Regions from separate parts of the Mus musculus genome. Here all the other regions are reported to be linked to region 1. The links are microRNA targets in miRTarBase. Many come from high-throughput screens and were not tested one by one. Region 1 holds a microRNA gene; each other region holds the end of a gene's coding sequence.

Region 1 (4,067 bases):
CCTCTGAGACATTTCAATCGCAACATAACAAGGTTCCCCAATGGTCATCAACCCAGAACACAAAACTGTTCCTAACGTTCTGGTTATCCAAGCAAGTCTTTAAGCATAAGCTGACCTTCTGCGATAATGTAGTCTATGCTTCAAACCCACAGTTTCAGTCCTCAACCTTCAGCAGAGGTAAAAAAAATATATATATAGAGCTCCTTTTATTTTCTCAACTTCAAGTCAAAGCCAGGTCCATTTCAATTTTGGTTTCTTTTCCATTTTAAGCAAAAGTCAGCTGGCAACCATGTCTTGGCAGGGATACATACCAATACTCCTTTAGACCACAAAACTGAGGTCAACTGCTCTTTCCAAAGCTGTGGAAATAAGTTCAGTGTCTATTTTTCCCCTCACTGAGATCTCCCCTTCCTATTTTAGAAATAGGAAGGCCGGACTTAACAGTGGAAACACTCTTAGCTTATGAGAGTATTAAGAACTGAGAACACAGAGCAGCTGGGGACACGGTCCCTTCCTGCCTTTGACCTGTGATCAGCTCTAGGTGTCCATAATTACAACACTGAACAAGGGTTTTGTTTTGTTTTTCCAAGATAAAAAGCAAATTCTTTAAATACTTCTGCCAGAACCCAAAATAGTGCTTTAGCAAAAGCTCTCAGGCAGGCAGGTAGCCTCTCCCATGTTTTCTACTGCATCCTCTCAGGTAATAATGACTTAGACAGTTTCTAGAACACTGTTGTCAGGACAAGCATGGCTATTTTCAAATTGCTGTGATGGAAGGAGGCACAAGTAAGGTTCTTCTGCTTTATGAAGCACTCATTCTGCAAATGGAGATCAAGCCAGCAGGAAATGATGATGCTTGATTTAAAGAAATGGGTGAAAAGATAATGACATTTCAATGAGCAAGGAACTTTCAACTCATAGCTTAGTCGGGGAGAAGTCAACCCTCAACTACCATCTACTTGCAGACAATCTACTTACTTCCATGGCAAAAAAGAGAGAGGGAGACTCCAAATCATCTCTGAGAAGCCTCATAATCCAGTGTCTCCCTTTCCAGATGGATCAGCACCAAGCCCTAGGAAAACACCTGACCGAATAGGTCAGTACAGAAAGGTACCTGCTCCATGCTAACACTCAGTACAGAAGGGTACCTGCTCCACACTAACAGTGGCTTCTCCAGTGCTGAGACTGAAAAACAGTGACAGTGAACAAACAGTATCACAGCACAGGGTCATCACTACACTGATGAGCAGCCAGCTCCAGACTAGGGGAAAAAATACATTTGCTTTAGTGGCAGGGTGAACTGCTGCCTCCTTCAGAGGGTGTGTTTTGGAGAGTAGGCACTTTTAAAGGACTTTAGGAGGTGCCAGCCAATTTGGAGCTTGGGAAAACTTCATGTCTACAGAGAATTAAAAAATGCTATCTTAGAATTTCAGGCCAGCTTTCAGCAATCTCAACCTTTTAAATGCCAGGCAGCAGCTGTCCTGAATAGGATGCCAATCAATAGCTCAAACACCTACAAAGAACTAAAACCAGGCAGCTAAAGGAGTGTTCTTGCTGTATACCTTTTAAAGGGAGATGGACTAAGTATAGTGGTCCATGCCTTGAATCCCAGCACTCAGGAGGCAGAAGCAGATAGATCTCTCCGAGTTCCAGAACAACCTGGTCTACACAGTCTAGTCTAGCCAGGGATACACAGGGAGAGCCTATCTCAAAAATCCAAACCAAACCAAAGAACAAAAGAGGGAGATGGGGTAGACCACCAGCAAATCTAACACCCTGACAGACCCAGAAGAACAAACAACTTTGGAGGAAGGTATAGGTCAGCAGCTCTCAACCTGTGGGTTGTGACCCCTTTGTGGGATGGAAAGATCCTTTCACATGGATCACCTAAGACTACTGAAAAACAGATAGTTGCATTAAAATTCATAACAGTAGCAAATTACAGTTATGAAATAGCAATGAAAAAAATTTTATTGTTGGGAGGTTATTACAACATGAGGAACTGTATTAAATGGTGCAGCATTAGGAAGGCTGAGAACCACTGGTATAGGATAATAACTTTCTCTTTAGTCATCTATTCAGCAGGCAGCCCATAGTGAACAATCAGTACAATAAGAGCAATGCCTGACTGCATCACAGATCTTACCACCTTGTCTTTAAAGGAAACTCCTGGTGGATACATGGGAGCAAAAATCCAATAAGGAAAACAGGCTCATGGTATTATCAGCTCCAAACGAAGAGAGACAGTCTGAGTTCTTGTGACTTCTCAGAGAGAAAGGAAGTAACCCAAGAAAAGGAGACAAGTTCATGGGCACAAACCTGCAATGTCTCAAAGCCGATGAGCGCAGCCGGGGACGACTGTGGCAGCCTGCCGCTGTAAACATCCGACTGAAAGCTCCTCTCAACACCTTACAGCTTCCAGTCAAGGATGTTTACAGTAGCAAAGACTGCCCAGAAAAATAAAGAGCTTCAGTGAGGCACAACCTGCTCCCATAAGGAGGTGACCCAGGGCTTGCTAACCCAAAAACCCTCATGCAGGGTCAGAATTAATGTCAATTAGGATGCCCACTTCTCCAACAGGTTTTCTGACTGGTTATTTGTACAGGTCAACATGGGGAGAATGGTTGTCATTAAATGACTCTAAACAGTATACTACAAAATAATTAGTTAAAAACACTTATATTTTATGAACAAAAATAAAACAAGCAGGACATGGTATGGCTTTACTTCTCTGAGGCATATTACACTAAACCTAGTGAATCATGCAAACTGCGTGCCTGAAACAATGAGCTCTATAGGACTGGGGTCTATCACAATCACAACTAAGTTATATGCACCCAAGTGCTGAACAAAACAAATGGTGTGATCTTTGGAGATGAACAGGCAGAAGAAGGGCAGACACTTAGTTCTTGTAATTAAAAAGAAAAATGTAAATGGTGGTTCTAAAACTTCACTGGACACCAAAGCATCTAGGGAACTTTAATTATTGATTCCTGGGGTCATGGGGTCATAGGTTCTGACTCAGTGGATGATGGGTAGAGTCATCACACTACAGAGACACAGCATAGAGTAAGAAAATAAAAGCCACTGGCTCCAATCTGATCACTATGCACAAAGAGGTTGTTTCTTAGAATCTGAAAACTGACTGGCTGAAAAAGCTTTTATTTTAGATGAAGAAATCCTGAACTGAGCTTCACCCCACTATCTGTGACTAGTCTTTTTAACTTTGTTCTCTCACTGCAACCCCACCCCAGAGGCACTGAGTTAAAAGTACCCATAAATGAGTAGAAGGAGATGCTGAGGATGATCTGGACTACGGAAGAGAACCACAAACAAGAAATGCTTTGGGTGGGAGGGAGGGAGGAGCTCCGGAGAGCATCTTGCCCAGGCCCTGGAGGTGGCAGCTGAGCAAATCCTCCCAGCTCACCTGGCGCTTTGGAGGTTTCAGTTCATCTCTTGGAACAATATCGATGAGAAAGTCGAACTGATCAAATTTTGTAATTGCCATGGCAATATCATTCCTCTGTAACAAAGAAAAACAAAGTTAAAAACTGGCCTAGGAAGAATCTAGTTCTTTTGGCTGTTATCCTTCAAGTAAAAGGACATGATCCTCTCCTATCCCCTAGTCCCAGTGTCTGGGATTAAACCTAGAGCTTTACACAAGCTAGACAGGTATTCTACCATTGAGCTATGCCCCAGCCCAAGGAGATGACTTTTAGACTGTACTAAAAATCTCTAGGTTTGTCTAGAGCTAAAAATAAGAACAGCTCAATTTATATCAGACTTGCTGGACAGAAATCAACGAAAGAGATACACATATCTCGTGCTCTAGGCCAGGACATCTGAGCCCTACTCACCACTATTTCTGCTTGTTCTGGTTTCAAAGCTTCCATAAAGTTGTAAAACCACCATCCTCTGGCTAATTCAGGACAAAGCCAGCAGTCTCAACTGGCATTCTGTGGTCCACAAGGTCAGCCCATCATTCACTTGTATGATCTTTTTAAAGGCCCTAAGCACTGTTTGTTGTTGTTGTTGTTGTTTTTCTTTTTACAGGCACTTATAATCCA
Region 2 (4,067 bases), not on the chromosome of region 1:
CAAAGGCTTCTGGCAACAAATGGAGAAACAGCAAAGAAACATTTGGTGCAGAACCTGCCCCCCAAATCACAACTACACTCAGGAAGAGTAACCGATACAACTTTACAGAGTGCAAATCGCAGGGCCAAGGCAAGGGTAAGGCACTGGCGGGGGCCTTGAGAGTGGGCGTCTCCCCAATCGCCTCACCCTAGTCCTGGCCCTGGCAAATCATAGCAAAGGAAAAGCTCACCATTGTGCCACAGACTTGGCTAACATAGAGGGCGGAGCAGTGAGCAACAGAGCACTGAGTGATTGATAGATAACTAGTCTTTTTTTTTTTTTTTCCTGACTGGTTCAAAGGTGAGGAGGAGGGGGGTGGACAGGTGCATGGGTAGATCTGCTCAGAGTGACAAGGTACGGAGACAACTGGATCTGGGTTGTCTAGATAAAGTAGATGTCAGGCAGAATGCTTGTTGGCAGAACCTTAACCTTGGGGTCATGAAGCTAACAGGAATGGATTGGCTGCCCATGGCCTTGACTCCTTTGTGGCTGAGCTGTTGGTACCAGTGCAGTTCACGGGTGTTAGGACTGGAGGACAAGTTGGAGGCCCATGCAGGCCAGGAGTACAGGCAAAGGGGAGGAGCCACAAGCAAAGTCAGCCTTTGTACTAAGACTAGCCTGCTCTCCACCACTCACATTTGAACCACAAATCAATACCCACCAAGTACAAAGCATTAATTGCATCTTGGGGTGGGGATGGGGGGGGGCGTCTTGCCAACCTTTGTCTATATTCACTCTAACAGAGCCACCTACCACTAAAGATTGAAGCTGGAGGGAAACAGGGGAATACAAATAGCTTGAAGCAGAGGCTGACTACCTGGGGCCAATTTGAGTTCCCTCCAACTTACTGTCTATTCTACCTATAGAGATCACTCTGGAAGCAACTTCCCAGAGAACCTCCCTGAAAAGAGTTTCTCCTCAACTTTCCCCCATCCTCACCGGCAGCATACATTGTACCCAGGGAAGAGAGTTGAATAAGAGAAGGTTAAGTATTAGAAAGATGCTTGGTGGTGTGCTGATCAATGAGTGGTAAATCTTTTCCCCAATAGTCTGGTTTCTTTAGGACTAGGTCCACTCCTGCAAACACTGAATGGACATTCCCAGGCCTAAGTCTTTTCTCTGACTGTGAAGTCTCTGCCCCAAATCCTTTTGTGCTAATGGGTTTCTGAGGGTCATAGTGATGCAGAAATGTTCTAAACATCCCGGGCCCACAGAGTTTTGCAGAGGAAAACAAGGGTTCAGGCAACTGAAACCACCTCAAGCGGTCTAAGCGTTCAGTTTTACAATCTTTTGGGGGGGGGAACACCTCCAGAGGTAGCAAGGTGAGGGGAGAGGCAAAACCCATGAGAAGGAACAAACAAGACACTTGCAAAGAAAAAAAATCAGCAAAAGTAGCAAGCCCTATACAGAGTCCCATATGCTCACACGTTCAACCACTCACGATGCTTCTGAAGGGCAGAGCCAGGGAGCCTTTTGCTTCTCTTAGACACAAGCATGGGCATCCGCTCCTTCATTTCCCTACAGAGGCAAATGCCTCTGTCTTTTGGAGTTCTGAGTTCAGGTCAGCTGTGATACTTCTATATAAACTAAGGCCAAGACTGAAGTCCAGATCTCACTATGTAGCCTCAGCAGCCTGGAGCTAGCTATGTAGATCAGGCTGGCCTCAACCTCACAGAGATCTGCCTGGCTCCATCTTCCAGGTGCTGGGATCAAAACTGCATCACACATTCCTGCCTGACTCTTGTTTCAATTCAGTCAAAACTTAGGAAACTTGGTTAAGATCTTCATGTCAAATGTTTTAAACACTTCCAAAACAACTATAGTTTCTCAGAACTGTCTTATTATTTAAGAGACCATTTTCCCCTTAAGTCTGAGAGAAGTGCTAGAAGACAGTTGGTGAGCTTGACCTATTTTCATTTGTCTAGAATTCAGAATTAGACCAACCCAACCAAGGATTTCAGCCTAAGGCTTCCATGCCAGGGGCTCGAGTCTTCTCAGCACTCAGTGGAGTTTTATTTCAGTTTCAGCCATGTTGCCTTGCTGGAGTGTGGGCAGTTGAGCTAAGAGCTTGCTTCTCATTGATAAGGATTGTCAAAATGGAGATCTGTTTGTTTCTGGCCTCTTGCTGCATCCTCCAGGAGAGTGAGCAAGGAATCTGGAAGGGCAGAAGTGCCGTGGGCAGGGGTACAGGAGGAAGGGTGCAGGGAACCGTTTTTTGTTGTTTGTTTGCTTTTGCAAAGCACGATACAAGTTCATTTCCTTTTGGCCCCCTTGGGACCAGAAGACCGAGAGCTTTCCAACACAGGCAAGCACGGTTTCTCTGCTCAGTGTTTTGCCCATCTTATCCCTAGCCCCCCAGAAAGCAGGTATATGGAAATCAGGAGCTCTTGCTTTGCTTACAAAACTGAGTTGACAAGAATGGCCAGTGCCTGATGACTTTGGAAAAGAAGGGGTCATTGTGGTTGTTCTGGAAGTCTTTCCACATCTGCTGTCTTCCACCACAGCTAACTGAAAGTTGGCCAAATAGCAGTACCTAGATGGCAAAAAGTAGCCCTTGTATCCTGGGCCATAGCATGGCTGCCTTTTTGATTTTGAGTGGATCTTTTTTTTAGTATACAGGTTCTGGACTTTCGAAAGAGTCAGACTTCCTTTAAACAAAATCGAAGCAACCACAAAATAGCACAATCTGAATCGAATGGTATCGGGACAAGATACCATTCTTTCCACTCCTGGAGCCTTCCATGATGCCGGTCCTTTACCTAAGTACTTCCTGTAAAATGAATGTTACATGCAAGTGAAATGAGCGTTCTTGGAGTATACAGCATGAGCTGGGCACAGATCCTGGCTACCTATGTTGACAGACACTCGAGAGACCTCAAGGCGTGCATGCGAGTTACCTTGGCTGAGCTTGGTTCATTAGCTAATGGGGGGGGGTCCTAGAAGTTTATTAAAACTCATCACCCTGATCTCCGCATAGACAATCAAACTGAAAAAGGCATGAAGTTTTGGAAGAGTCACAGTCATAGTTTGCACCACAAAAGCCATCCAATCAACCCCATGCCGTAATTAGTGCACGCCTACAGAACTCTCTCTGGAGGAAAGTCACACTGTGGTTGAGGAGGCCTTGGTGTCTTTCTGTGTCTTCACAAAGGGCCATCAAGGCCTCTTCAAGGAAGTAGATAATCAACAGTGGGAACTGGTACCCTCTGTCCCCAGGCCTGATTTAGAAGGTCCCAATCTGTTCTCCGTACTGTGTCCCTCAGTGACAGGAGCCAATGGACAAAGACAATAGGACGTTGAAAAGGTGGCTCTCCAATCTGAGGCTCTCTTAGTGCACAGGGCTAGAGACAAGAAGTAGGACTCCGATGTTCAGTCATGGCAAGGATGGAATAATGGAAATGTGGAAGGTCTGAAGCCTATCTGAGTGCCAGGTGAGCTCCATTGTTGTGTTGTCCTCTCTGCTGTTCAGAGTGTGAGTTAACATCAAAGACATCGATTCTTTTGTCATTCCTGTGGTTGGTTCCTTTCTAAAGCTCTCTCTCTTTCTCCTTCTCTACTCAGGCCTAGGAAGTTAGAAGCAGGGCTTAGGTACTGGGGTTGTCAGTGGGTTCGTAGTCTTTTGAGAACTGTGCAATAATCCTTCGAGCCAGAGGGTTAGTGGTCTTCAGCAGCTCGGCCGCTGAGGGGCGGGTCCTGGGAGTTGCCTTACTTCCCTTCTTCTGGAGCAAGGCCTTGAAATCATCATTTCTACCAGCATCTAGGCAGGCACTGCTACTTGGCCCTGGGGCAGCAGCAGCCTCACCGGTGGGAGAATCAGCTGTATTCTTCACTGGTGAATGGGAGCTGGGTTTGCTTCCCGTGAAGCCCTCCCCAGTCTCTTTCCAGCCCAGTAGCTTTCTTTTGGACCTAAAGGAGAGAAAGACTCGTCTGAGAGAGTTCAGAGAATTCGGGGAGCAGAAAGCCAGCAAAGCTTTGAAAAATTGCCAGCAAGGGATGTGCTAAATAGTATGCATATGACAGCCTTGTGA
Region 3 (4,067 bases), not on the chromosome of region 1:
CGCTGAACATTCTCAGCTCCTTCACTGCCAGTGACCTGACAGGTAAGACGAGGCTGCGTGCACAGCCTGCTGCAGGCTGCATTCTGTTGTTGCAGAGCAGTGACCTCTCACTTAAACTCCTTTCCGTTCTTTTTCTAGCTTTAACCAACAGTGTAGCAACTGTCTGCAACCCCACCGCTGTGAATTGTCTGGATGACAGCTTTCCTCCGCTGGCCAACACGCCTCGTGGACACGTCAATCATGTGCCTGTCGTAACGGAAGAGTTACTCACCCTGCCCAGCAATGGTGAAAGTGATTGTTTTAATTTATTTGAGACTGGATTTTATCACTCAGAGTTAAACCCCATGTGCAGCGAAGAATCCGAAAGACCAGCAAAGAGATTGAAGATGGGCATTGCTGTCCCCGAATCCTTTATGAATGAGGTTTCTGTAAACAACCTGGGTGTAGACTTTGAAAACCATACACATCACATCACCAGTGCCAAAATGGCTGTCTCTGTAGCTGACTTTGGCAGTTTGTCTGCCAACGAGACAAACGGATTCATCAATGCCCATAGTCTGCATCAGCACCAGCACGCCGCCCTTCATTCAGAGTGATGGGAACGGGAAGCCCAGAGACAATGGGTATGCAGTACCAGTAAACTGAAGGGGAGCTATCAGGTTTGCATAGTCTTTCACTGGAAGTTTGAACCTTTTTCACTATGACATCAGTGATGTCAGTATGTATAGAACTATATCTTGATTTATCAAGAGTATTTTCATTTTTCAATCCATAAATGTGGAAATGAACTATGATCCGCAGAGTTGGGAACTAAGATGGAGCTCTGTGGTGCAGCTTTAAGCTCTGCTTCTCCTCATCCCTTAGTACCTCTTCCACGGCCTCCTTTTTTTCTGTTCCCGCCGCCCTCATCCCAGATTTAAAACCTGTAGACAGAGGCCACCAGCTCAAACCAGCACAGATGTTCAGAACTGATGTGGCCTCTTTTCATGTCAGCTCCTTTTGCCGTAACGGATGCAGTGGGATCAATGTTTACAGGTACCAACCCCGATCCCTGTTCAATGTAGCATTATTATTATTTTTTTTTGTTTTCTTTATTAATAAAAGCAGGGGTAGGTTTCTTTAAACTGCACAAACATGCAAGGATTTTTTTTAAAAACAGAAACTTCTCTCATGTTATTCAACTAGAGCACTTCAGTTTACAAAACAGCAAGACCATCTGTCTGGAAGCCGGCGCGAGGAGCTGTGTGCAAATGAAGGAGACACTTGCTTGGATCCTGTTTCAAAATTCCAGACCAGGGCTACCTTACACAGAATTGGTCATTGTACTGCCGGGGGACTTCTGTGTAAACTTTTTTTTTTCTTTCTTTCTTTTTTTTTTTTTTTTTTTACAAAAAAATTGGCATTTGAAGATGTGGTATTCATATGGGGTTTTGTCCACCATTGTCAAGATTGTAATATTAAAAATCATACTGGTCACTGGTAATTTAGTTTGTTCCGAGGCAATTGACTTGCAAGGCACAGTCTACAAAGCCCAGGAAGTTGCCACAGTGGTTTACATTTTGGGACACCTTGTTTGGAGCACTGCAGTTCAAAGTGTTAATATACTTAGACTTCTAGATGGTATACATAACGCAGACCCTTGAAGCTACTTTGTTTAGCTCAAATAGTTGGAAAGAAAACTGTGAGTTTCTGTCTGAAGTAGAATGGTACGTTACCACTTTTAAGTTTTAAAACGTGACAGATGTTCACGTGCATCTCAGACGTGATTTCACTTTTATTCCAAACATGAGTAAGAAGCCATTGTCATAGCTTTGACCATTTTTGCTTTATTAGACATGCTCCTTTTAAGTTTTCAGGTGAGTCAAACTCTACAACACAGTGTTAGGATATAAGCTTTACTTTTACAGTTAAAACAATTACTTTTTGCACCGTCTTAATTAAATATTTTGATTTTTTTTTTTATTTTCCTAGTTGTGTTGCTGTTTATAAGTGTGAGTCGCTTCAAGGTCGTGCTGAAGAGTAGGTAGGAGGTAGTGGTCCTAGTGACTGGACGGGAGGGTATTTATTGCACAAACTGTGAACTGCAATGACATCCTTGCTTTTGGATGGTGTGTATTGTTTTCCTTTGCAGCATTTTAATGAAGATTGCTTTGAAGTGTTTACGCAGTAGCACATTAAGTATAAAATTTAGTTTAGCACAGAGGACAAAGGGTAGTTAAATTAATAACTTAAAATCAGTCTTTAACTTATACATCTAAAATTGAGTATTCCTGTATGCACACAGTAAACAATGGGTAGCCTGGGCTCCATGTTGCTTTCTAATACTCTCCAAGTGGTTAGCTAGCTTTTTATTGCTGTGCTGTGCTAAACTTTGAACCTTGGTTTTTTCGTTCCCTTCAGTAGACTTTCTTTAATGTAGGAGGATACCGGGCATGTTCTTGCATTGTTAAAACTATATTTTTCACTCTGGGTTTACCGTGGCTGGTCTGTATAAATGATTTATACAAAGATAACTGAATGCTAATACCAGTTGCACTTACATGAAAATGCCCATTCTCTTTGGCTGGCACAGTTTATCTATGCATCGCTGGGGTCTTGATGTAAGATGGAAACAGTGTTTCTCATCTAGAGTTTTGATTATCAGCAAGTTGAATGGACACTTTAGTTATTTAAATAGAGTTTTGACCAAAATCCAGAAAAATGATATGAGAGAAATAAATTCCAGCTAGTTTAACAGATTTTTAAATGCTAACTGGATTTTAGCCTCTTAGAGAGTGCTACCTAGCTGGTAACGTTTACTTTTAATTCCTTGTTAAAATGAGGCAATAATTTGCAAGATTTTTGTATATATGTGTACAGTAAATTCTTCATATCTTTTTAGACCTAATTCAATATTTTCTGACTGCTCCTGTCATGTATGATACATTTTTGTGCATGCCTGATGTGACATTCATAAATTGTACCACTATGACTTTATCCATGTAAAATAGCTATTTATTGAATTTCTTCCAACAGCTGGACTTATTTTTTTGTCTCCATTTGAACATCTTAACAGAGAATTTGTTACTGTTTATTAAAAGAATTGAGTTTGAAAGCATAAAAAATCTGCTTTGCAATCGTATGAAGAAAAACAATGCCTTTATTATCACGTGTTAATAAGCACAATTCTTATAGCAAACGGTGATGAATTCTTTGTTTCTTTCATTTGCCGCAATATTTTCATATGAACAAACCAAAAATCCATGGTGAGCAGTGGCGGTGTCGGCTGGCCCATCCTGTGTGTCCAGGGCACTCGGAGGATGTGGACGTTGACGAGTGTGACCTGGTGCTGTGACTGGAGCAATACTTTACTTTCGTCACGTGTGCTTCGCCGTGCTATGCCGGCCTTTTAATGTTTAGTTTTCCTCTTGTCATGGTCAACTGCTGAATTTACTTGAAGGATGTAGAATACTATTTAAAAAAAAAAAAACACAAAAAACCTAAAGTCTGTACAATTAGGTCAAAGAATTGTGCAATCGCTTCCTTTTTAATTTTTAAAATTGAAGGTCACAAATATTTGCGATCAGACCTAATAGAGTAGTAGCGCTATTTAATTTAACCAAAGTCTAGTAAATACTTCAACGTTGAATGTAAGCTAACAACCCGACCACCAAGGAGATTGTCTGCCCAGAGTTTCAAAGCACATTGTCTACGAATGGAAATTGAAATAATTTATAAAATATTGACATTACTATGTTTTTTAAAAAGTTCCTAATTTTTTCACTAAAAGGAGGGAAACTATTAGTTTTATTGTTAAATATGGTAGATATTAATATTCCTCTTAGATGACCAGTGATTGCAATTGTCCCAGTTTGAACTAAGTACCCTGTGAGTATGAGGAACTAGTGACAATCAGAACAAGTTTTAGTATCCAGTGTTCAAGAGGAAGTTGCTATTGTTGCATTGATTTTAATATTTGTACATAAACACTGATTTTTTGAGCATTATTTTGTATTTGTTGTACTTTAATACCTGGTGTACAGTTCCAGAAATAAAAATCTGGGAATCTGTTTTCCTGGGTCGTGTGA
Region 4 (4,067 bases), not on the chromosome of region 1:
ACTGCAGTGAAAATACAATTAGTTTCTCTCAAATAAATTATAAGTGTGCATGGCCTGGGAAAAACTGAAGCCCAGCTCAGCAGCTTACAAGGGGGCATAATAACAAGTTGGCACCCATGGTCAGCAGCTAACCAAGTGCTCCTACCAGGATCAGTCCCTCTGGTGTCGCTCCTCCCCAGAGCCCGATTTCCATGCACCCTCAGTTACTGCTGAGAAAGAAGCTGCTGCTATCCAGGGAAAGGAGCCCTGGCAGATATGCTGAGGGTTAGAGGAAGAAGAATCCAAGACGGAGGACTAAAGAAGCGTTCTCCCTCCCGCTGGCGCTAAGTATTCAGCCACACTGCTGCTCCTCCAAAAAGAAGTTAAAGCAACCCATCCAACTGGTGAAGGAGCAGCAGTGTGCTGAAGCCAGCAGAATGGAAAGGAGGGCAGAAAGGACCTCCATTCCTGGAGACTTCAGCTAAACGCAAATGCATGTAGGTCCCTTTAAGAAGACTGCTTTCTAGGAGCTGGCCCTTAAGCTGGAAACTCTGAGATGAGAGAGGTGCTCCCTCTTATCAGTGCCCTATTTTGCTGCTTCAGGCATCGGGTTTGGAGCAATGAAGGGATAATTCAAAGCTACTGGCCCAGGTAACTAAAGGATAAAATTAAATGGGCCAGGCAAGAGGATGCTAGAGCATTTACCTTGTTCCTCCCTGAGAGCTCTGTCAAGGCCTGGGAACTGCCCTGAACACTGACTGTAGCTGTGCTGAGCTGAGGCCTCCGCAAGGGCAAGGGGAAGGCGGAGAGACGAAGACCGGAATAAAAGTACAAAGAGCGGCAAGCTCAAAGCACTGCCCAAGCAAAGCTTCCTAGAGCACCTGGCTTCTCAGGGACTAAGTAGTTTCCTGCTCCGTAAAGATCTCTTGAGTTTTAGTATCAGAGAACAGAAACTCCTCGTGGAGGAAAGAACAGTTGGAGACCAGGAAGATTCTGCTGGAGTGAAGCTGGGAGGGGAAGTCCCTTCCCCAGAGACAAACTGCCCAAAAAACCTGTAGATGCCTTCCTGGGCAGAAGCCAGGTCTAAGAAACATAGAAGGGATTAGAGAAAGGAAGGGTAGGGGTTTGGGGGAGGGAGTAGTTACATCTAACACTGCTTCATGCAAAAGAACTTGATCCTGTGGGCCTCTGTGGGCCTCTAGGCCACCGTGACCTCCTCTTCCAGGACTGCAGCTCCACTGGGAGACCCTGGGAGCTGCTTCTTCCCAGCTCCCTGCTGCAGCTGGGTGTTCTGGTAGGAAGACTACCTAAAGCAGGGTGTTCCTACAGATTCTGTTAACCCCAACACAGTGGGGCTGACTCTTCAGGACTTCCAAAGCCCTGTCCCTATTCTGGAAGGCTCTCTTCCTGAGGGAATTAGCTGCAATGTTGCTCTTTTTACAGTTTGAACACAGCTGGCCTCCAGAGCATCTTGGAGAGGAAATCAACTCGCCCCCTCTTAAGGTACTCAGACTCATTAGTAAAGCCAAGAGGGAGAGTTGATCCTGATTAAAGCCTCCAAATCAGGTATTGCCCTTTTCAACTTTAAACACTACTATATTTTGTACTTTGTGGTCCCACGGGTTTGGACAGGGGAGGGAAAGACTATCCTAAAAGGTGTGTTTACACCTTCCTGCGACAAGTGGCTGCCAGAATAATGGAGACAGAAAAGTAGCCTCATAATGAATGCTCTGCAAAACCAAGGCATGAAAGAAACTTTAAACCAAATCCAACACTGCCAACTACATCCAATTCTGGCTGCCTTTCAGCTACATAAAGCCAAAGACGAAGCCTGTGGAGGCTTCAATATCGAAGGAAAAGTAGATAAAGAGTTTCAAAGACGTGTTTTAGTTGTACCTAACCTCAGAGTTCTTTACACTCAAGGTTTGAGACTATTACTCTAGTGCCAGCCTGGCCTCTGTCCCAAATGTTGCTTTTAGGTCCTAGGAGGTCTAAGTGCAGGGGCAGGTAAGGAACTCTTCTACTTTTGAGATATGTGATCCAGGATAGCCTTGAACTCATTAGTTAGCAGAGGTGGACTTGAAAATTCTGAGTTTCCTGCATTCCCCTCCCACGTGCTGAGATTACAGGTGTGTGCTACAATACCCCAACACCCAAATTTTATGTGGTGCTGGGGATGGAATTGAGGGCTTTATGCAGGCTAGGCAAACACTCCCGGCCCCAGCCTCAGCCTCGGGACCAGCCCCAGCTCCAGGTAAAGAACTCTTTAAGAGATTTCTCTTCAGTCTCCTTTGAAGTAAATGGTGGTGGTGAACTAAAATTGACCATACTCCCACTTCTTGGGCCCTCAGCTGTCATGAACAGGGCTCTGATTTGGTTGGCAGCAACCCAGACTCTAAGTTTACCCAAGACACTCCTTCCACGTACAGCTGTTTAAAGAACTCACAGAGGATGTAAAATAGATGGTTACTGGACAGGAATGGAAGAGGTAAGGCCCTTATAAATCTGAGGCACAGCTTCCATCCTCCCTTTCCTCCATCTGTCCAACCTCTGATGTCAGGGTTAGTCCTGATACAACCCCTGTTGCAGAAGAAAAAGTTTCCTACTATAACAGCTTCCTCAGATTACCCTGAACTGTTTTGGGTCAGTTAAAAGGGAGCATAATAAAAGACCCTAAAGAAACAGGAAGGAGATGGAGGACGGACTCAACGTCGATCGATGGACCATGGCTTGGAAAATGACTTGGAATCGAGACTCTAGGTCTTTAGACTCCCTGCAGCCTCAACTGCTCTTGAGAAACGGCCTTTCTCCTCCTCAGCACCCTCTTGAAGATAAAGACACTACACTCCTCGATCCTCAGACTCTATGGCAAACCAACAGCCAGAAACTGTACTCAATACAAAAAAGGGAAGAAAACCCAAGCAGGTTGTAAACTTTTCGAGTCCTTCATGAGGAGAGGTATTTTCCCTGTATTTTTTTTTCCTTTTTAAAGTTTGTTTCAAAATAAAGAGAGCAAGAGAGAGGTCATGAATTCTGTGAAAGGTGTGTAAAAACACAAGCTAAAAAAGGTACTGCCATCAATATGAAATTTAAAAAGAAATATATATATGTATATACGTGCAGCTAATTTGTGTATATATAATTTTTACATACATACATACATATATATGCTTGAACAGTGCAAATGGATGGAGTTCATAGTTCCAGTTTTAAAAATATAGTACAAGGAGAGTCTGTTGGTATGAGGCCCGGGTCAAACGACAAAGATGACTTTGGCGTGTTGGCTGGGCTTGTGTGTCTGATCTCAGTGGACTTCTGGTACTATCAACCTGCTCTCTACCAGCTCAGTTCCAGAGACGGGAAATTCTCAGGAAGTTATTAATAATATTTAGCTTAGGACTTTGGGACATAGTGACTTTTTTTTCCTTTTTTTCTTCTTTTGTGTTAATGGTTACTGTCTGACATGGGAGACGAAAAGGCTAAGAGGCTGAGGGCAAAGAGAAGATAAAGGGATGAGGAAAGGCTAGGTGGCCACATCCCTCTGCTGTGACCTCGCCATCTGGAAAATATTCTGAAAGGAAAAAAAAAAAAAAAAGAGTTACTGAGGAGCAGCAGGGCCTCCGATCTGGAGACAACCCTCCGACACGATGGGAGCAGCACACGCGCTGACAACCGGATTCAACAATCCCAAGCCAACACAGCCGCTCACATCACAGAGGACTCTGAATATTTACCACCTGGCTCAGTCTTTCTCTTTTACAAAAGAGATAATTCAGATCTAAAAAGGTGGTTGCTATGCCCAAAATCACAGACAAAAGAAGCAGGAGAAATCCCAGATGACTTCCAGAGCCCAGTGTTCTTTCTACTAGAGCAAGAACACCAACTTCCAAGTGACTGACTATACTTCTTCATTTTCTGATTTTTCTTTCAGAGTAAGTAACCAAGTATTTAGACAGAGTTTTCTAAATTCTGCTCCAGCACTGACACCTATAAACAACAGTAGCAAAAAATTTCCCCCACATTTATTTTCTTGGTTAGTGAAGAAAGACACTACTGTGACTTATCCAGTCAAATGGCTAAAACTCTGG
Region 5 (4,067 bases), not on the chromosome of region 1:
CCTCATCACAAATCCGTGGCTCATTTCTAATCCCTAAGTCTCTGATACCTGACAGGACAGTTCGCATCTCAAAAGGAAAAATTAGAAAAATGAGCATTTTCCAGCTCTTTAAAAGACTTGTATCCTTTAGCTTTAAAGTCCTCACAGTGCTAACATAGTGTGTTTTATAGAACGGACTAAAAGAAACAACAATCAGGCCAAGCTCCAGTTCTCAGAAAACCCAGTGGCAAGGCAGCGGGACCTTTCGGGAGACACTGCTCACAGCAGTGCCTCTGGGGGTTCAGCAGAAGCCGCAGGAGCCAGGTGTGCAGAACCCAGAGTAATAGACACAGGGGCCAAGTCAGACCATTTGATCCCCCAGCAGGCTAAGCGGAGACAAGCATTCCTCCTCTGCAGAGGGGCTGACAGACCTGAAATTCAAACTCAGATTCCGGCTGTACCACTTGGGGCTTTGAGCCAGGCATTTCATTACACCCATAGTTCACAATCATCCCGATTAGCCTATGGGGTGGTAGGACGCAGGGAAGGGGGTTTGGAACATACAGTTAGCAAACTTCAAAGAGCTATGCAAATATAAGGCATGGGTTCACACTGAAAATATGACTCCAAACCTGACCTCTTTCTTGGCCTGTTGGAATCCTGCAACTGTTCGCTCCAGCATCTTTCTGGGACTCTGAATTTAACCTCAGATTAAAGCGATAGGGAAAGCTAAGAACTCTTATAAATGACAGACATCTTGCAAACAACAGAAAAACGTGCGACATATGTGTGTTAGCAACTTCTCAACTAGTGAGGGTCCTCTGCCAGGCTCTCATCTGGGTCTTCAGATCAGAAAGAAAGAGTCCTCCTTCAGCCCTGCCTCCCCAAAAGTCCCCAGAGAAGCCTCATCCTTAACCAGTGCCATGGGTTCTAAAAGATTCGTGCTCAAAGATCCACCACCAGTGTCCTGAGATGGGTGCTCTGGTACATTCCAGAGGCACAGTCAAGAGTCTCCCCTGGGCTCACACTACCTATAGTCCATTTCCCAGCCATTAACTAGGAGAGATCTATAGTTCCCAAATCTCTTGAACCAGAGAAGAGACTTGAGGCCAAGGGATAGCTCCTCATGGTTTCTCTTCACTGAGGGTCTCTAGAAGTGTCGCTCTCTCTGTCCTCACCCAGAAGTGTCACTCACTCTCCTGCTCACCTCGTCTGTCCTCACCCTACTCTTAGGATCACAGCTGAGGCTGGGTACCCACAGAAGCACCCCTACGCTGTGACTAAACTTAGCCCAGAGTGAAGAAGTATTAATTTACAGAACTGGGGAACAGAGAGTGGTTGGTTTGTGCCCAGGAGGTCAGGACACGGCTGAGACTGACTTGGGAACATTCAGCAGGCTGGTTCCACCAAAGCAGAAATGTCTGCTCTGACTTTCTTGAAGTTGCCTGGAAAATTAACCCTATGACTTGCTCAAGCAATCTCACGAACCAACTTTGCCTTTAGATCTGAATGTTCCTAAAGGAGTTTACATTCAAAGGTCAGTTAAATACCTATGAGTGGAAAGCCAACGTAAAACATTTAAATATAGCAATCAGCCCTCATAAAAAGTGTTTGGGGCTTCCACTTGGGGGAGGATGGAGGTCTGTAAAGTGGAGTTGCTAATAAAAGACATGAGTGGATATTTTCTCCCAGGCTAAGGTTGTTCCAATGCTAATTTGCCTCCCCCCAATGCTTCCTTTCACTGTGAACCCCAAAACATTGCCCTCTGAACAGCTACTAGCCACAGGAGGAAATGGAATCAGTCCTGATAGGCATTAGCATCTCCAACTGCATGGATCCATGGAGGGCCCTGCAGGGCCTCTCAGCTCATCCCCAGGCTTCGTCTCGCCACTTGATGAGTCTGCTTCTCTCTCTCTGCTTCTCTCTGCTTCTCTCTGCTTCTTTCTGCTTCTCTCTGCCTCTCTCTGCTTCTCTCTGCTTCTCTTTTTGCTGCTTCTTTACTTTTCCCTCCTAAGGCAAGGACTGGTTTTCATTTCAGTGTACAAAAAAAGTCTTGGTGAAGTACAGGGAAATAATAAACAATTCTTTCTATTCACCTTATAGATATAGATCAGGTGGCTATTTCTATTTGAGTTTGCCGAGCCACCTGGGATGTTATGATATGAATATATACGTCAACAATTTTCAAAGGGCACGTGAGACACACATAGGTCCTCAGTGAATTAAGGTTATGATTTAGAAGTTGTCATTATGATTAATATATTGTTTTTCCTTGAGATCTCTTTAATGACAAACTTTAATTTTTATTAGTATATAATTAGGAATCATATTGTTTATATTTTATTTGGCTCAATAGTTTGTGAGATGTGTTTCTTTGGGTCTACAACTCATGGCAACTAAATATCATAAAGCTTAACCTTTGTGAATAGAAGAGCTAACCTAAGGAGCTAGTTAAGAAAATGATGTGTAACAGGCATTGAAATGTAAGATCTCTGGAGCTGAGGGTGGGGTTGTAATGGAAAGAAAGCATTCAGAAAATTAGTAATTATTAATACATGCTCCCGTGGTTTTCTCTCGAGATTTCCTGAGCATTCTTTATATATCATAGTGCAATACAATACCAGTAAGTCACTACTATACCTATTTTTCTCAAGCAAAAATGATATGCTTCTAGACATATATATATATATATATATACACACACACATATATATGTATAGTCTATATATCAACACATAATAGTACACTTTCTTTTAGAACACTATAATTTGCATTTCTATAAATATATTTAAATAAGAAACATAGATCACTGTTCAGATCTCACACCATTTGACACATAAACATACAAAAATAAAATGATCCCATTTTGCTGGTCCGGGTACTTCTCCAAGTTAAGAACAACTCAGAAATAACCTTGAGAATTTGGATCCCAGGAAAACTGGACACGAATTCATGCTGGCTCTAGGCACCACAGGCAGGGGTAAACTTAATATAACATTCCTTACAGTGGGTATTAATATCCTACCACTGTTCAGAGAAGCTGGGGGTGGGGGGGAACGACATCTCCAAAGGTCATGTGATAGTTTGTCTCCTAGACATTGTGAGGAAGAGGCATATTAATCACATCCCCTGCCCTACGTAAAGCATGAACTTATGAAGCTGACCTCTGAGTAGAACAGGAAAAATGCCTCCTCCTTGGGCTATCCATTCTCTGCCCCCACCATGCTCTACTCTGCAAATAAGTGCTCAGCAAATAGAACATCAACATTAAGAAGAGCCTTGTGTTCCACAAATGCCAACATGCGTCCAGTTCCAGTAGCTAATAAGGAAGAAATTCCTCCACTCACAACGTTTTGCAGAACTTGGCTGCCCACCAAAGGGAGTTCTTCATGCTTCTTTTGCAAAACAAAATAACATGAATTATTATCCCTGGTAAAATTGAGCCTTTTGTCTATGGCAGGTTGTAATTCTCTTGAAAACAAAAAGAGGGGTTTCACCCATTTCACATCCCACCTAAAGCCTATTATTCCAGCCAGCTCCCAGTAGAAGCACAGACGATATGCCTGCTCAGATGAACTCCATCACTTCATTCTAGTATTGAGGAAGGCAACATCTGGGCGCCAGGACTCCCACTGCATCAAAACTGGCTTCACCTCAGTTGCATCCTTGCGGGGAATGGATGATGTCTCAGGAACTGGGTTTGGGATTTCCTTGTAAGCAGAATGAATGCCCTTGGCAGCATCCTGTAGAATGGTATAGTAACAGGAATGGGGGTGGGATCTGGGCATCTGCTCAAAGAGAATTTTCCACACAATCAGAAGACGTGGGATTCATGACTTCCTGAGGGGTGACTTCAGGGTCCTGAGGTGCCTGCTGCTGATAGATGTCCTGGATCAGCAGGGTGTTCATGACCTTCCACTCTCTGTACTTCCTGGCTGTCAGCTTTGGATCATCCAGCAGCTGGTTGATCATAGCCAAATCGTGTTCTTTGCACTGGCCGGGAAGAAAACAGGAAGGAAAGTGACATCCATGATTATGTGAGGACCTGAACTTCTATGAGTCAACTTCTTCAGCCCTTTCACAGACAT
Region 6 (4,067 bases), not on the chromosome of region 1:
CAAATTCAGGATGCTCTGTAAATGCCCAGAAGGAAAATAGAAAGGAGTCCTATACTACATCAAGGCAAAACCACAAGAAATTAAATGAAAATGAAAAAAAAATGTTAAAAGCTACTGACAAGGAGGGGAGGGGTTACCTTCAGAAGAGCAACAAGAAGACAAGATAGCCTTAACTAAAAATGAAAAAGACAGCCCACAACACAGGCATTTGGAAAAGATAATGAACAAAGTTGAAGTGTCTATGAATCACTAAGGAAAACTTGAAGAAGACACCTAGTGACCAATAAACCCAGAAGGGTGTTCGGCATCACTGATATGCACCAACAGGTACCATCTTATACAGGGATGCCGTATACAGGGATGCCATAATAAAATACTATACATTGGATAAAATGATCTATTTGTTTCTTTTATTTCAAAAGTGAAGAAAAATCAAAGCCAGGGCGCTATTGGATCGTCTGATGAGTGTGTGCCTCCTGGTTCAACTATCCTCTTCCTATCTCTTTACATGGCAAGAAGATAGAGAGTTCCCTGGGATATCATTCATGAATGTGTATATATATATATACATACACACTGTCAGAGGCTGGAGAGATGGCTCATCAGTTAAGAGCACTGGTTGCTCTTCCAGAGATCCTGGGTTCGATTTACAGCATCTCCATGGCGGCTTGCAACTGTCTCTACCTTCTGTTCTAGGGGATCTGACACAGACACAAATGCAGGCAGAACAACAATGCATATTTAAAAATAAAAATCATGCTTTTAAAAGTGTACAGGCTAGCTTTATGTGAACTTGATACAAGCTATAGCCATCTATGAGGAGGGAACCTCAAATGAAAAAAATGTTCCATAAGATGAAGCTGTAGGCAGGCCTGTAGGGCATTTTCTTAGAGATTGATGGCGGAGGGCCCAGCCCATTGTGGGTGGGGCCATCCCTGGGCAGGTGGCCCTGGGTTCTATAAGAAAGCAGGATGAGGAAGCCATGTGGAGTAAAAAGTAAACAGCTCCCCTCCATGGCCTCTGCATCAGCTCCTGCCTCCATGTTCCTGTCCTGACTTCCTTGAGTGATGAACAGCGATGTGGAAGTGAAAGCCAAGCAAACCCTTTCCTCTCCAACTTGCTTTGGTCACTGTGTTCCATCACAGCAACAGATACCCTGACTGGGACAACATATATCTCCCTAAGAAAACACTAGTCCTATGACCTCATTAACTCCAAGGATCCCACCTTCTAATACTACTAGGGGTCAGGATTTCGATGTATGAATTGGGGGAAGGGCTCAAACATTTGGTCCACAGCACACACCCAGCTAGTTAAAACCTAAGCATAGGACCACACCAGATGCTGGAGGGAGGTAGGGTAAGAACGTTCATTTACTCCTGGTCAGTGTGGGTATAACATACTGCATACATCATAAGATAACACTGAAGACTGACCAACGGGAAGTCCACATTTCTGTTCTTAGGTAAATATACGAAAGAACTGTATTTGTGGCAACCAGAAGTCATGTATAAAAATGCCTATCACATCCTTTGTCATGCTATACAAAGACTGAGACCCTCTCAAATTCTGTATTGTGATATAGACCCACTGTGATGATGAATCTTGAGTGCCAATATCATAGAATCCAGAGTCAACCAAGAGATACACCTCTGGCCAGCTCTGTGGGGGCACTTCCAGGAGGGATTAACGGAGGGGGGAGAACCCTCTCTCACAGTACACAACACGTTCCTGTGATGGTCCAGATGCAAGATGATCCAAAACAGCAGCTCTCTTGTTCTTCCTTGCCTGCCTTTGCGTCTTGCTGGTGAGTGCATCTGCCCAGTTGCTGCTACCCTTCACTGCTTCTCCCACCTCCCAATGTGGACTGGGGACCAGTCACTCTGCTGAAGTCCCCAGGCCTTCAGCACCAGATTGGGACAACAGAGTCACCAAACCTCACAGACTAAACTGCTGCTGGTTCTCAGCCTCTCCAGAGTGCAGCTGGCCACTGTTGAACCACCCAGCCTGCATCCTGTAAGGCAATCTAATAAATCCCCCTTTGTAACATATATTCACCCTTCCAGTTCTGTTTCTCTGGAGGGCCCCCCACCCCCATCCCCACCCCCGCCGCATGAACTGTTAAAAACAAACTCTGTGGTAATACAGACCTTCAACAAAATATCAGATGAAAGAAGCCAGACAGACAAACTTGGTCAGTGAAAATGAGGTAACTGTATTCAGTGACCTGGTCACAGGAGGGAAACTTCAGTGGTGACCGCAAACCATCAGCCCACGGCTATCACTGACCTTTGGGGACCGGGAAGGAGATGCAGTCTGGTGGGCCTCCCACACGGTTCCCGAGTGCTGACAGGAAGGTTGCAGCCGGCAGAAGGTGACACATGCTTTCACATTCTTCACATTTGTCACCGGGGACAACTCAGTGTACATGTCCCATGCCGAACATTAACAGCTTTCCAGCTGTGAACACCTGTTCTCTCTGTGTTCTCTGGGTGAGCAGGTGAGATTACTTACCACCTCCGATTTCCACACTGCAGCCTGGAGGGCACGCCAGTGTGGAAAAACCAGGTCTAGAACCTGGGGCTAGTGTTCTGCTCTGCAGAACATCTGTATGGCAGAGATGCACACAAATCAGAAAAAAAATTGTAAAAGAGCTCCTGCGTGGTGTGCTACACACTCATGCGTGTGCGTGTTTGTGTGTACACCGGCTTGTGGAGACTGGCCATCCACTTCTTCCATTTTCCTCTGTGAGCTTCCAACCTTATTTTTTTGAAACAGTGTCTCTCACTGAGCCTGGAGCTTGCCAATTTGGCTAGGCTGCCTGGTCAGCAGGCCCCAGAGATGCTTGCCTCTGCCACCCTAGCACTGAGATTATAGGGAGGCACTGTCAGGCCCTGAGTTTTATGTACTTGCTGGATATCAGAATTCAGGTCCATGTTCGTGTGACAGGCACTCTTTTTTTTTTTTGGTTTTTCAAGACAGGATTCTCTGTGTAGCCCTGGCTGTCCTGGAACTCACTCTGTAGACCAGGCTGGCCTTGAACTCAGAAATCCGCCTGCCTCTGCCTCCCGAGTGCTGGGATAAAAGGCATGTGCCATCACGCCTAGCTGTGGCAGGCATTTTAAGCCAAGCCAGGCCCAGTTCCTGGAAACAATACCAAACAATACAAACAATACCAAACAAGAATAACAACAAAACCAAAACACTCCAAAATAAGGCTATTTAAGGCTTCTGGCAGGAACATTTTTATTTTTTGGTTAAAGCCACAACAAATAGAAATGTGATAAAAACACACATGTAAACAGCATCAGAACTTTGGTTTCACTGAGACATCTTCTACCTGAAATATCTGAGGTACAAAGGCACCGTGCCGGGTGCTATAGTCTGGCTCTACCGCAGCCATGCCAAGACACCCCCAGAGCCAGGGCAGGTGTAAGCTGGTCAGAGTCTGGGGCCCAGGTCACCCAGGACTAGGCTCAGGATATACTCTCTCAATTCAGTCAAACACTGGCTCCTCCAATGACCTGCCTGACAGGAGCTGGGACATAAAAAGGAAGCTGTCATGTTGAACTTGAAGATGATTTGGACTATGGGCCAGGGAGGAGCGGAGAGAAAAGGACGTCAATCAACTTCCGTTGTTCCACAAGGTCTTAAGAACTCCTGTCCTCGCTCATGGAACCACTTGTTGGAGACTGTGAACAGAAAGCAAGTACATGACCATCCCACCTATCAGTTCAGCAAGCAGCCAAAACGAATGCTTCCTCCATGATGACCACTGCCCTGTGCTCTGTGGGTAACACTCCAGTGCCACACGGCCTCAGGCTTCAAGCTGCTCACGTGCTGATGAAAATACATGAGCACACAGATAATGGTGCAGAAGCCAACCAGTGATTCGGTGGGTGTATGTAAGTTACCATGGGAACAAAGCCAAAGAGCATCTCATGATGTTAGGGATGAGAGCAGTACTGAAACAGAACAGGAAGCCAACAGAAGTTATCCCAGAAAGAAGGCGGGTATACCATACGGCTGCCACTCCAAGTGGAGTAAACGCAGAAAGTGAGCTGAGA
Region 7 (4,067 bases), not on the chromosome of region 1:
TAGCTTGGTGGGAAACAAAGAAACACGGCACAGAAACAAATGATTTGTAGGAGGAGAGCCCATGGTAGCCTTTGCGATACAGGTAGTCCATCGTGAGACTTGTTTCCCGTCTGTATGAGATCCGTTAGCACTTCTAGGATGTTGGCCGGAAAGGAGTTGTAGGGTGCTCTCTGTTCAGGGACCCGTTGCTCTACAACAGGAACATGGAAGCTATGAGGCCTTGCCAACATGGAAGAAATGTCACAGCAGAATGGCCATTGGTGCTGTGATAGCGCCCACTACGGCACTGTGACACTCTGGCCATCCCAGTTCCATGAGGCCTGAAACCCTGGCTATCCCAGTTCCTTGAGGCCCACCCTCAGTGGTAGATTTGCTGGTTTCGACTGAGTTTCTCACCACCTCACCTCTCACTGGCCCACAGATCCCACATCTGAGGAGTCCCTTCCCTCATCTGGGAAAAGCAAGTACGAAGCCATGGATTTTGACAGCTTACTGAAAGAGGCCCAGCAGAGCCTGCATTGATATCAGCCTTAACCTTCGAGGAATACCTCAATACCTCAGACAAGGCCCTTCCAATATGTTTACGTTTTCAAAGAAAAGAGTATATGAGAAGGAGAGCGAGCGAGCGAGCGAGCGAGCGAGTGAGCGTGAGAGATCACACAGGAGAGAGAAAGACTTGAATCTGCTGTCGTTTCCTTTAAAAAAAAAAAAACGAAAAACAAAAACAAATCAATGTTTACATTGAACAAAGCTGCTTCCGTCCGTCTGTCCGTCCGTCCGTCCGTCCGTGAGTTTCCATGCTGTTGATGTTCCACTGCCACGTTAGCGTCGTCCTCGCTTCCAGCGGATCGTCCTGGGTGCGCCTCCAAGTGCTGTCAGTCGTCCTCTGCCCCTCCCACCCGACTGACTTCCTTCTGTTAGACTTGAGCTGTGTTCACATAACATCTTCTGTCTGTAGAGTGTGATGATGACATTGTTACTTGTGAATAGAATCAGGAGTTAGAAACTCATTTTTAATTGAAGAAAAAAAAAGTATATCCTTAAAAAGAAAAAAAAAAAAACAAATGTATTTATGGCTCTGATTACTGTGCCTGGGATTAACGTACTGCTTCCTTGATTGTTTAACTATGCACTGTCACGAGGTGTTTGCTACTGAGCTGCGCTGCTGCTTCCCTGGTCCATGTAGTCCTGGAGATACTGGGTGGCTTCTAAGTCCCCAGGAAAGAGGGGCTTGCCGTCACAGGTGTGAAGAAGAGAGAGGTGTCTAGGGATCTTCTACCAAGTCCTGGTGTCTTTTGAGTGAGTTCCACTCGAGCTGTAACGAGAATCCCTTCCCCCTGTCTACCCACACTTGGAGGGCACCTGTTTTTAGTGCTCAGAACCTTGAGTGCCTGTAGGGAAGGTGGGGTAAGCTATGTTAGACCCATTCCACGGGGAAAGAGGATATAGTGCCCTGAGAGGTGAACTGTGAAATGTGCTGCCCAAGGTCTCACGGCAGAGCAGTGAGCCACCTCTAGCCTCCTGACTGCTGGCCCCAGCCTGCGGCAGTAGTTAGCCTAAAGATGCAAAAGTCAGAGACTGGAGGAGTGGAATTAGCTAAATTGAGCAATAGGCTAGAAGCCTAATAGCTCACTTGAGAATTGGGCCACCAGTTGACTCACCAGCATTAAGGCAAATTCAAGTTTCAGCACAGACTCAGGTGTCCCTGAGCTTCGATCCTCGGTGTCCTGCGACTTATCCTGCCTGTGGATACCCCTCAAGGTTCTGAGATCCCTGCAAGCGGTGCACAGACTTCACCTAGGGGCTGTCCTTTGCGGGCAGGGAGGGCAACTAGCAGCCCATTCCGATATCCTACAGTGTCCCTGCCTGCCCCTCCTCTGTAAAGTTAGAGTTGCCGAGTGAGGGGTTGTACAGGTTGGGGGTGTGGACAAGGCACTCCCAAGGAGCATTCACAGTGAGCTCCTCTTGACCCCGTTCTTGACTACTGTCAAAGCCATATCCAGTGTGACATTCTCTGGGTCCCCAGGGGCCCTTCTCGAGGGAGAGCCGGCTCTATGGGCAGAGTATCAGCTCTAATGCTTCATATAGATCAGTTCCTCCTTGGTCTTGTGACATTTTCTCTCTTTCTCCCCCTCTCCATCCATTCATTCATTGTTCTGCCAAATAAGAAAGTTTGATTAATCAGCTGCTAATGACAGGCTTATTCCTTTGATAATTGGTGGTTAATTTTTTTTTTTAAGATTATCAAGTACCTCAGTAGAGAAAGTGAGCCATGATCTTGTGCTTGGTGTTGGGAAAAGTCTTCACCTATAGATAAGGAGGCTGGCTCTAGCAGAAATAGGGGAACAGAGAATCTGTGTGTGAGATAGATCCCTTGGCCTCCCTAAACCCCAGGTTCCCTTTCTGTGAAATGGACTGAGGAGCAAATTAGACAGCAAGAAGTCTTAGCAGCTACTCAGGCAGTACATAGTCACGCCTCCCCCCACCCCCCCCCCATACACACACACATCCTTGGGATGCAAACATAGTTAATTGATCATAAACACTAATTTTTTTGAGCCTGGTCGTGCTCTTAGAATACACAGTGCTCTAGGCAGGCATTATTAATTGGTCGGTGTTTTAACTGATTTGACATCCTGTTCTAATCTTTGGAAGACTATCATTGTAGAGCCATATGCTGGCTGGTTTTTATGCTGGCCGTTCCTGTCATAACCTGATCCATGAAAAAGAAAAAAATGCCCCTGAAGCCATTACTCAGTAGAAGACTCCCAAACTATTACAAAACAAAGGGGTGTGGAAAGGGAAGGGCGCAGTAGAACACGGAATCAGAACTGGAGAAGACGTGACTTCTGAGGATAGATCCAAAAGGGGACTTTTCACAGTACAGACCTAATCGTTCTGAATTCCTTTATTCATTTATTCGTTGCCTGGCATATGGTAGGCACATGGAAGATGGGTGTGGACTGGGATGGTTCTTCAGTTGTATCTACTAAAACCGGGGCTCTAACCACAGAGGAAAGCCAGTGATCGCTGAAATCACCCAAAGGGAAAGGGACCAGACATAATCTGGAGAGCCATTTGAACTCTGACCCCACCAAGACCTTCTTTTGTGACTTTATGAGTCTCTTCTTCTTGGGACCTCCAATGTAGGAGTTGTCCAAGGAACCATGGGCTCTTATCTTACCATCTGCTTCCGCAGCTACACTGAAGCCAGATGCTGGGTCTGGAGTAAAAGATCAAATTCTTAATAAACACTAAGTCTTTCTCTCTCCCAGCCAGGGTTACCTGGAGCTGACCAGTCAGTTCACTCTCTGGCACTCAAAGTCACTCAGATGTTGTTCTTGAGCAGAACAGAGCCCTGAGCCCTACCGGAACTTCCTGGTGGGAACTGATGCCCACCAAGACTCTCTAGTATTCTCCACTTACCCTCTCATAAAAATGGACTACCAGCTCTGCAGATAACCCCTCCTCCCCCTCTCTGGAAGAGCCATTCGGTGCTGCATATAATTTACCAAGGAGACTGTCAGGCCCCTTCGAGACCAGGAATCCATCTTGGTCTCTTTCCCATCAAATCAAGGAGTAACCCAGAGGGAGCAGCCGCCATGGGCAACCTTCTCGTTGTAGCTGTCGTGATGTGTCTCAATGATGTTTACGTGTGATTGCCATAGCTTCCTATAGACTGTTGACAGCCGCCCAGGGAGGGCAGTTCTCCGTGTCATATCTCTGCTGTGCTGGTATTTTCTAGAAATGTCTGATCCAATCACTAAGAGGAATTCTTCCGTCTCCTTCCTCAGTCACTACAAGGCTGAATCAGAGTCCTCTCTCTCTCAGGGGACTCTGTTACGGAAGGAAAATGCATCAAATAGGTAAATATGACTGAATGGGATACAGCCAAGGTCCCCACTCCCCATCCCCCGACATCACTTGTGGCCCCAGCTAGAAAAATGCTTTGAGTCAGAAAGTACCCATCCTATGCCTGTGTGTCTCTGTTGATCTTTTAGAATCTGGTGAACAGCAAGGTTCCAGGGGTGGTGGGAGGACTGCTTTGAGCCAGCCACAAAGACTTA

Evidence for each region. The annotated mature microRNA mmu-miR-30e-5p reads UGUAAACAUCCUUGACUGGAAG and lies in region 1 at 2,416-2,437, opposite strand. An mRNA with a match to its seed (bases 2 to 7 or 8) in the 3' UTR can be bound and repressed. Matches are read on the target gene's strand: a 7mer-m8 pairs with bases 2 to 8, a 7mer-A1 pairs with bases 2 to 7 and ends in A, and an 8mer does both.
Region 2: the mRNA of Nhsl2 is a reported target of mmu-miR-30e-5p. The part of its 3' UTR that is shown has no 7-base or 8-base seed match.
Region 3: the mRNA of Mier3 is a reported target of mmu-miR-30e-5p. Seed matches in the 3' UTR shown: 8mer at 1,027-1,034, 7mer-A1 at 1,195-1,201, 7mer-A1 at 1,551-1,557 and 7mer-m8 at 2,157-2,163.
Region 4: the mRNA of Snx27 is a reported target of mmu-miR-30e-5p. Seed matches in the 3' UTR shown: 7mer-A1 at 2,907-2,913.
Region 5: miRTarBase lists Ipcef1 as a target of mmu-miR-30e-5p. The part of its 3' UTR that is shown has no 7-base or 8-base seed match.
Region 6: the mRNA of P4ha2 is a reported target of mmu-miR-30e-5p. Seed matches in the 3' UTR shown: 8mer at 3,297-3,304.
Region 7: miRTarBase lists Ppargc1b as a target of mmu-miR-30e-5p. Seed matches in the 3' UTR shown: 7mer-m8 at 579-585, 8mer at 734-741 and 7mer-m8 at 3,647-3,653.

What each region holds. Positions count from the first base shown.
Region 1 is chr4:120,770,245-120,774,311 of GRCm38, forward strand. It overlaps Mir30e (microRNA 30e), which reads right to left and starts at 2,453; the gene lies at 2,362-2,453. Nfyc (nuclear transcription factor-Y gamma) reads right to left here. Exons shown (of 10, transcript NM_008692.4): 5 at 3,428-3,523. It overlaps Mir30f (microRNA 30f), which reads left to right and starts at 2,362; the gene lies at 2,362-2,453.
Region 2 is chrX:102,082,484-102,086,550 of GRCm38, reverse strand. Nhsl2 (NHS-like 2) reads right to left here. Exons shown (of 8, transcript NM_001163610.1): 8 at 1-3,945. The coding sequence ends at 3,624. Among named protein-coding and RNA genes, the nearest start is that of Rtl5, 13 kb to the right of the region's middle.
Region 3 is chr13:111,714,546-111,718,612 of GRCm38, forward strand. Mier3 (MIER family member 3) reads left to right here. Exons shown (of 13, transcript NM_172593.3): 12 at 1-42; 13 at 139-4,049. The coding sequence ends at 596. Among named protein-coding and RNA genes, the nearest start is that of Mier3, 30 kb to the left of the region's middle.
Region 4 is chr3:94,497,722-94,501,788 of GRCm38, forward strand. It overlaps Snx27 (sorting nexin family member 27), which reads right to left. Exons shown (of 12, transcript NM_001082484.2): 12 at 1-3,550. The coding sequence ends at 3,503. Among named protein-coding and RNA genes, the nearest start is that of Celf3, 21 kb to the left of the region's middle.
Region 5 is chr10:6,886,704-6,890,770 of GRCm38, forward strand. It overlaps Ipcef1 (interaction protein for cytohesin exchange factors 1), which reads right to left. Exons shown (of 9, transcript NM_001170800.1): 9 at 1-3,972. The coding sequence ends at 3,772. It also overlaps a transcript of Oprm1 not described here. Among named protein-coding and RNA genes, the nearest start is that of Ipcef1, 92 kb to the right of the region's middle.
Region 6 is chr11:54,130,815-54,134,881 of GRCm38, reverse strand. It overlaps P4ha2 (procollagen-proline, 2-oxoglutarate 4-dioxygenase (proline 4-hydroxylase), alpha II polypeptide), which reads right to left. Exons shown (of 16, transcript NM_001136076.2): 16 at 3,215-3,692. The coding sequence ends at 3,622. Among named protein-coding and RNA genes, the nearest start is that of Gm12223, 9.0 kb to the left of the region's middle.
Region 7 is chr18:61,295,138-61,299,204 of GRCm38, reverse strand. Ppargc1b (peroxisome proliferative activated receptor, gamma, coactivator 1 beta) reads left to right here. Exons shown (of 12, transcript NM_133249.3): 12 at 422-4,067. The coding sequence ends at 522. Gm46627 (a long non-coding RNA gene) reads right to left here and starts at 803. Exons shown (of 5, transcript XR_003952647.1): 1 at 741-803.